2 linked regions of the Coturnix japonica genome follow. The protein of the gene in region 1 interacts with the protein of each later gene in a pairwise test. Links are inferred from orthologs where the notes say so. Each region holds a gene or a part of one and is shown on either strand. Other genes may lie near its edges. The genes, in order: DNPEP and MPP1.

Region 1 (4,254 bases):
AAAGGCTGTCAGGTTTTGTGGTGATGCTGAGATTCGACGCAGCACCAGCTCTGTCAGAAGGGACTCGGCACCCTGCGCACTCTCTGACCCTACCTGCCAGGAAGACCATCAGCACAACCCACCCAGCAACACCCCAGCCACCTCCAGCGCTCCATGTCAGCTGAGGGATAGCAAGCTCCCCACACCCAGCAAAGAGGCTTCCAACTCACTCCCTGCCAGGCCCAGGGTGGGGTGAGCAAACCCTATGGTGCTCCATGGGTGGCTGGGATGTAAGTCCTAATCATTGGTGGAAGGAGAACAGAACACAGAGCCCCTGTGTGTGCCAGCTGCCCCACGGCTATGCCCCTCACCTCCTCGTTGTCATAGAGTGCAATGAGGCGCACGTTGGGCTCCTGGGAGAGGGAGGGAGCTGTGCACGAGTCAATCAGTGCCTGGAGAGACAGAGGAGGAGAAGGAGCACTAGCGTAAGTGCCACCCCATCCTAGGAAGCTCAGCACTGAACTGGCTGGAACATCCCCAGGAAAGTCTAAGGCACCAAGGAAAGGAGCTGTGGGTACATTGGAGATGCTAGGAATGCCACACACCCAGCACAAGGGGGCAGCCACTGTCCAACCCCAGGCCCTTTGACGAGCAAGGATCCCTGCAACAGGACCCAGCTAACAGACCAGCAAAGCTAAGTCAAGACACAAGAGGGCCATGACAAAGCCCCAAGGCTCCTTCCTTCCTTCTCTCACCTGCAGAGCACAGTAGCAGCTGTGCAAGTTGTCCAGACGTGGGGAGAAGATGAACTCATCAAAGGCACCACCAAGAGTCTGCAGTCAAAGAACAAGGAGTAGGGCACAGGTTTGGGGACAACAAAGAGCAGGTGTGATGTGTCTCCAGCCCAGTCCCCACCTCTGCCCCCTAGAAGGCATTTCCTTTCAGTCGGTTCAGCTCCCAGCCCTGCATGCCCCAGGCAGAGGAAGCGTGCTGTGCATGGGAGCTGGGCAGTGCCAGCCTGCAGGCATGTTGCATACAGGTAGAAGGAGGCTCTGTTGTACTCACCGCTGGCTGCGTATCCGCCAGGCATAATTCCAGCTCCACAATCTGCTCTGGTTTCACTCCCAGCTGGGAGCAGAGCAGGGAAAGCAGGACAGGGCTGTGTCTCTCTGTCTGGGAAAACAGCAGAGCTGTGGGCAGTGCAAAGTGATGGATGGCAGAGAAACTTTCCCATTCCTTCCTCACACTGCAGTCCTAGGCTTCCTGTCTACTCACATACTCTGCATCTGAGCACTCAACCCACAAAGGGCAGCAGTGGTGCTCACAGGGCATAGTGAGGGGCTCTCTCCCATTGTTCAACCTCCCCTCCCTCCTCTGAGAGAAAAGGGGGGGCCATACATGACAGCTTTATGGGGGATTTCCACTTTTCTTTAGGATGAATGCAGGCTAGGGTGGGAACAGACAACAGTGGAGCACATGTGCTGTGTAAGTGGTTCTGAGTGGAGCTGAGAGCAAGTAGCTGTGAATGGGAAGGACGAGAACTTGCTGGCAGGGAGCTCTGAGGACTAGAGATCAAAAGATGGCATGTGAGAGACCTTAGTGAGCCTCCCCCTTGTCCTTAGGAACCCACTCACCTGGGCTGCAGCAACGCCAGCTGTGCGCTCTGTGGATGGTTCTTTTTCCAGCTCCTCCTGCACAGCAGTAGCCAGTATGGGAACCCTGTGGGGAGACAGTGTCAGCAGCTGCCAGGCCATTGCTTACCCCTTGGGGACTGGCTGAATGGAGCAAGGACACTCTAAACTTAAAGCACAGACCTACTGTGCCACCTTAGGACACCCCAGTGCTAATCCCCAAGCCCTTCACTATAAGTGAAGCCATTGTTGTCCACCCCACTGCAATGAGGGATAGAACAGGGGCTGGGCACCGCTGCAGCTGTGAGGATCGAGCCAGGCCTTACAGGTGGTGCTCGGTGTTGGGTCCAAAGTTCTCATTGATGCTGCGCTGCAGATGGATGGCCAGATGGGGGATGCGGAGAATGGGCCGTTCCACACACACCAGCCGCTGCTCCAGTCGCCCTGTGTTTGGCTCCTGAAATACCAGCAGGACCATTAAGCTGCCTCACTGGGCCAGGTCTGCAGGACTCAGAGGTGGCAGGAGCAGCAGCGTGTTTTACCCCACAGCCCCCAGCCGGGCTCACCTTGACGATCACCCTTCCTGCCACAGTGAGGTCACGGTCAAACCATGTGTTCCAGATGCCTCCTCCATAGGTCTCCACACCAACCTGCACCGTGCCCACCTGCCCTCGCTTGGAGCGTCGCTTCACCTGGATGGATGCAGAGATGACACCAGGGATTGGGACCGGGAAGAGCATGCCCAGAGCCCACCAGCGTGCCTTGAAGTGCTTGGTAGGGAGGGGAACGCAAAAGTGGAGCAATGCGGGGAGTCAGCACCCTGCAGGGGGGGACAGGGAGATGTCAGAGCAATAAGGCATCGGGAAGGTCTCACCCTGAGGCAGGGGCTGTCGGTGTGTGCCCCCAGCAGGCTGAACCCATTCCCCGGCTGGAAGCGACCCCCGACGGCGAAGGCAATGAGCGTGGAGTAGTTCCTGGTGACAAAGTACTGCGGGGAGGAGGAAGGGGGGCGGTGTACGGAGCAGGACGTGACAGCCGCGCTCCCCACGTGCCCCCCAGCCCCGGTCCCACCTTGCAGGAGGGGCGGATGTCCCAGTGCTCGGTCTCCTTCAGCTCCTGGAAGCCGGCCTGCAGCAGGCGGCTGCGGCACTCGGCCACCACTGCGGGGAAGGCCCGGTCAGACGGCTGGCTCAGTTACAGCCGGTAGAGGGGCGGCGGGGGGGGCTCTTACCATGGTACGGGGACGGGCCGCGGTTGACGAACCTCACCAGCTCCTGCGCCGCCGCCTGCACGGCCTGCTTCGGACCCACCGCCTGCGGGCACCCACACCGGGCTCAGCCGGGAGCCGCCCCGCTCCCCGAACCCCCCCATCCCTCCCGGTACCGAACCCCCCCCCCAACCCCGTGCTCCGCTGCCGCCCGCCCGGTACCTGCATGGCCGCCACCGCCCCGCCCCCCCTCCCGCTCTCCCCCCTCTCTGACCCCCCGTCAAAGCGAGACCTTGGTGGCACATTGAAACTGGAATCTGGGCCTGGAAACTGGTGGTCCGGCTGCCGTGACCCCGGCAGCCCTGAATCCCAGCCCAGCACCTGCCTTACCCCTCAATAAAATAAAAAGGAACGGGCCCCCCTGCCGGGCACACAGCCAGAGGACAGCTGGGGGGTCTCCATGCCAACCGCGGCCATCACAGCTAAACACAGGGCGTGCCGTATCCACGGCCTGCAGCCTCCTGCCGGGGGGCTCGGGGGGCTCGGGGTATGTGGATCAGCTGCGGGCCCCCAGGGCAGGGGGTGCTCGCTTAGTCCCCAATGGATGAGTATGGGATCGGGGTGCCGGGGGTGCGGGGTGAGTGGCGGGGCCGGGTGTGGCCCCGCTGCAGTGGGCAAAGGGCAGCGCCTTGGCACGCGGCTGCTAATTCCCAGAGCCGCAGGGGCTTCCTGGAAAAGCTGCCGGCGGCTATTCCTGGGTGCTCCCTGACTCACCCTGCACCTGCCGCCCCATCACTGCCCCACCCTGCAGCGCTCAGTGCGGCACGGACCCTCGTGTCCCACCACGGGGCTCCTGAGTGCGCCCACGGGTGCCGTGCCCCTTCCCGTGGCTATAGGGCCGTGCGGCTGGAGCTGAGCCCCGCTGGAAGGGGTTAAGGGCCAGGCGGCCAGGATGGATGCGCAAAGCTCCGGGAAGGGCCGCCCCTTTCTCCCCCCAGGCACCCGCCCTGCCGGGATGAGAGCAGGGATGGCACCCGACTGCTGCCGAGCCCCCACCCCAGGACACGTGTCGCTGCATGGGAAAGTGAAGTCAGCGGCCGCGCATTGCTGGAGGCTGAGCGCACGGCCGCCCTTACGCCAACCACCAGCCATGCGGTGGGACGGGAGCTGCCTCATCTCACTGGTATGGGTGATGCCATCGAGGCCATGGAGATGGACAACACAGCATCCTTCTGGGCCGTGAGGGTGGCGAGTTATCCCACATCTCTGTGGGCTGCCAGGACAGCTGTGGGCATCCCCACGGCCTGTGACACAGATGGACATCTCTGCATCCCCATGGGTCACAGTAGATGTGGCTGATGGGTGCAGGCAGCCTCACAGGGCGTAGAGGTGGCTGTCTCCCAGCATCCTCACTGGGCCATAACAAGTGCCCCCACA
Region 2 (2,794 bases), on another chromosome or scaffold:
CATGCACAGTCCTATCCTGTAGCTGAGACAGCTCTAATTACTCTTATTTCTCCTTCACTGCAGTTTTTGACCAGCTGGATGTAGTTTCATACGAGGAGGTGGTGAGGCTGCCTGCCTTCAAGAGGAAGACACTGGTGCTCATAGGTAGGTCCTGCCCCTGTCCTGCACGTGGTAGGGGCTGTGGGGAACCAGGGCTGAGACAGCACTGCCCTTTGAAAGCTGGTAAGCACTGGGGAGCATTTCTTCTACCTGCAGCGATTGCCCGGAAGGGTGATATCTGCCACGTGGCACTGTGCATGTGGTCTGGCACCTGCACTCTAGTGCTGAGGAGTAATTTCAGGAGAGTTTCTGCTCTTGAATGTCTTTATGGTCTGTGCAGCTGCACCAAAGCCAGCACTCCCATGCTGAGGGTGCAATTTCTGGTGGAGTTGCTGGTCTAAGCAGCCCAGCCTGCAGGCACCTGTGAGTGCACTTAGGGCAGGGAGACCCTCCTCCAGGGCTGGAAAACACCACAGAGGGTTGCACCTTCTCTTGGACACTCCTCAGCCCAGCTCATGTCCACCCCTCTTTCCCTGTAGGGGCCAGTGGAGTGGGTCGCAGCCACATCAAGAATGCTCTGCTCAGCAACAACCCCGAGAAGTTTATGTACCCTCCACCATGTAAGTAACCACAACCGGGTGAGGGCATGCAGCACTACCCCTGTACATTTCCTCACCTCCTCTTCAAGTCACCAGGTGGGATGGGAGGTGGGGAGATGTTCTTTGAGCACCATGAAGCTTTGGTGTCACAGGGCACCAGACAAAGCCCTGCAGGGTCTTCCTTCCTCCTACTCCACGTGCTGAACTTAGTCAGAGATGACTGGGCTGCTGCTGCTCACATTGCAGACATCCTGTCCCCATCCCAGTGCAGCACCTTGCAACTCTCCTCACACTGGCCACGTTGCCTACTTGTCCTGTTTAGGATGGAGTTCCAATGGGGTTGATGAGGTACATAGGTCTTCTGTGCTCTTCTTTGCTCTAGCCCCATGCTCACAAAGGGTCCATAAAACCCCAGTTTGGCTCCCTGACCTCCTGGAGGTCAGCACCTGGCTGAGGGCATCGTGCATTTTTCTCCCTCTGCAGACACCACGCGCCCCCAGAAGAAGAATGAGGTGGATGGGAAGGACTACTACTTTGTTTCCACTGAGGAGATGACCCGGGACATCTCAGCCAATGAGTTCCTGGAGTTTGGGAGCTACCAGGGAAACATGTTTGGCACCAAGTTTGAAACAGTGCACAAGATCCACCAGCAGGACAAAGTCGCTATTTTAGACATTGAACCTCAGGTATGAAGCAGGGAAGTGGTGGGCAGAATGGGGACTGCTGCAGGCTGGACAACCCTTGTGTGGGCTGTGACCATCCCCACACACCTGCCCTTCCCCAAGCTGTACCGTTGCCCTTACATTGCCTTCCTACCCCCAAGCTCAGGGGTCCACAGCCCCTTCAGCCCACTGTTGCACCACAGGCACCAGTGAATCTTGGCTGGGGGAAGTAGGGGCAGCCGCCCGCCAGCTTGCCATGTTCTGATGACTGCACTCTGCTCTCTCTCCAGACCCTGAAGATTGTCCGCACGGCAGAACTCTCCCCATTCATAGTCTTCATTGCCCCAACAGACAAGGCAGAGGAGGTGGGTTGGCGCAGTGGTGGCTGCAGCTGTCCAGCATGGGGCAGGGAGTGGTGAGGAGCCCACGGGGGACAAAGCCTTGTAGCAGCCCAGGGCTCTCTTCCTAGCTCTGTAGAGAGAATCAGCTTCTTCTTGTTCAAACTGGTTTCAGTGGTCCAGGAGAGCAGCGGAACTATATCAGCCCAGACCCAAGAAACAGGACTTGGGGATTCCTGCAGCCTCAGGCTCTCTACTGTAGGGAGATCCCAGCAAACACCATCCCTGGAGGAGCACAATCAGTCCCAAACATGTAGCTGGGTGCACAGCCCAGCACCAAGGGCTGTCTCTAGCTGCAGCAGTGCTGCAGAGCAGGAACACATACCCTGCCATCAGCTATGCAAATGGGACACACAAACAGCAGAGCGTTTCATTCTTTAGCTCCTGTAGATGCTCATCCCTCCGAAATTAGGATGAAGCAGCACTAATGCTGCAGTTAGCTCACACAGCACAGAGCACAAAGCTCTTGGCTGCATCCTGTTTCCCAGAGACAGAGCAGTTCTGCCTCTGCTATACCACCTCCACCAGGAGAAGAGGGGAGAGAAGGCAGACCCCCAGAGCCGTGCTCCTCCTGGATGCCAAGCCAGCCAAGGCATTCTCTGCAAGCTGGGCTGGCTCAAGCCAGTAGCTGGGGGCTTCATAATGTTTACAGTACAGACAGCAGCTGGTACAAGGTCTATCTGCGTAGCATCATGAAGCTGGTTGGAGACACATCAATATGTGGAGTGTAGTAAAGCCAGATGGAGCAGGTAGGGAGGTTCTGGGCAGAAAGGCGAGCATGGCAGCCCTCTCCTCTAATCTGTGCCCCATCAACAACTGCCTCCAGTCCCAGAACATTAACTCCTGCCGCAGTGGGCAGGGCCAGCCCTGCTGCTGCACACACTATATATAGCAAGCTGCTGCAGCTCAGGTAACTGCTCACTGGAGGGGACACAGCAGTGCCAAAATGTGACTTAGCAGAGCTCACATGACCCAGGCAAACTGCTTAGTGCTCTCCTTCTTCCACCCTGCTGACAGCTGCTGAGCAACACCCAGCAGCACTGCGGTGAGCACATCCCCCCTAGGTGCAGGACCTGTAAGCAGTTCAAGCTCCATG

The links.
Region 2: the proteins of DNPEP (region 1) and MPP1 interact in binary tests that used the Homo sapiens proteins (3 or more experiments, as listed by UniProt). The two-hybrid records come from large-scale screens. The link is inferred for Coturnix japonica from reciprocal best matches to the Homo sapiens genes DNPEP and MPP1.

What each region holds. Positions count from the first base shown.
Region 1 is NC_029522.1:24,543,557-24,547,810, forward strand, and holds the start of DNPEP (aspartyl aminopeptidase), read right to left. Parts: upstream 3,068-4,254; 5' UTR 3,046-3,067; coding exon 3,040-3,045; intron 2,924-3,039; coding exon 2,842-2,923; intron 2,771-2,841; coding exon 2,682-2,770; intron 2,599-2,681; coding exon 2,485-2,598; intron 2,303-2,484; coding exon 2,177-2,302; intron 2,068-2,176; coding exon 1,937-2,067; intron 1,699-1,936; coding exon 1,614-1,698; intron 1,153-1,613; coding exon 1,045-1,152; intron 813-1,044; coding exon 735-812; intron 432-734; coding exon 351-431; intron 94-350; coding exon 1-93.
Region 2 is NC_029519.1:2,078,537-2,081,330, reverse strand, and holds part of MPP1 (55 kDa erythrocyte membrane protein), read left to right. Parts: intron 1-63; coding exon 64-144; intron 145-578; coding exon 579-659; intron 660-1,121; coding exon 1,122-1,324; intron 1,325-1,590; coding exon 1,591-1,665; intron 1,666-2,794. UniProt on the Homo sapiens protein: Essential regulator of neutrophil polarity. Regulates neutrophil polarization by regulating AKT1 phosphorylation through a mechanism that is independent of PIK3CG activity.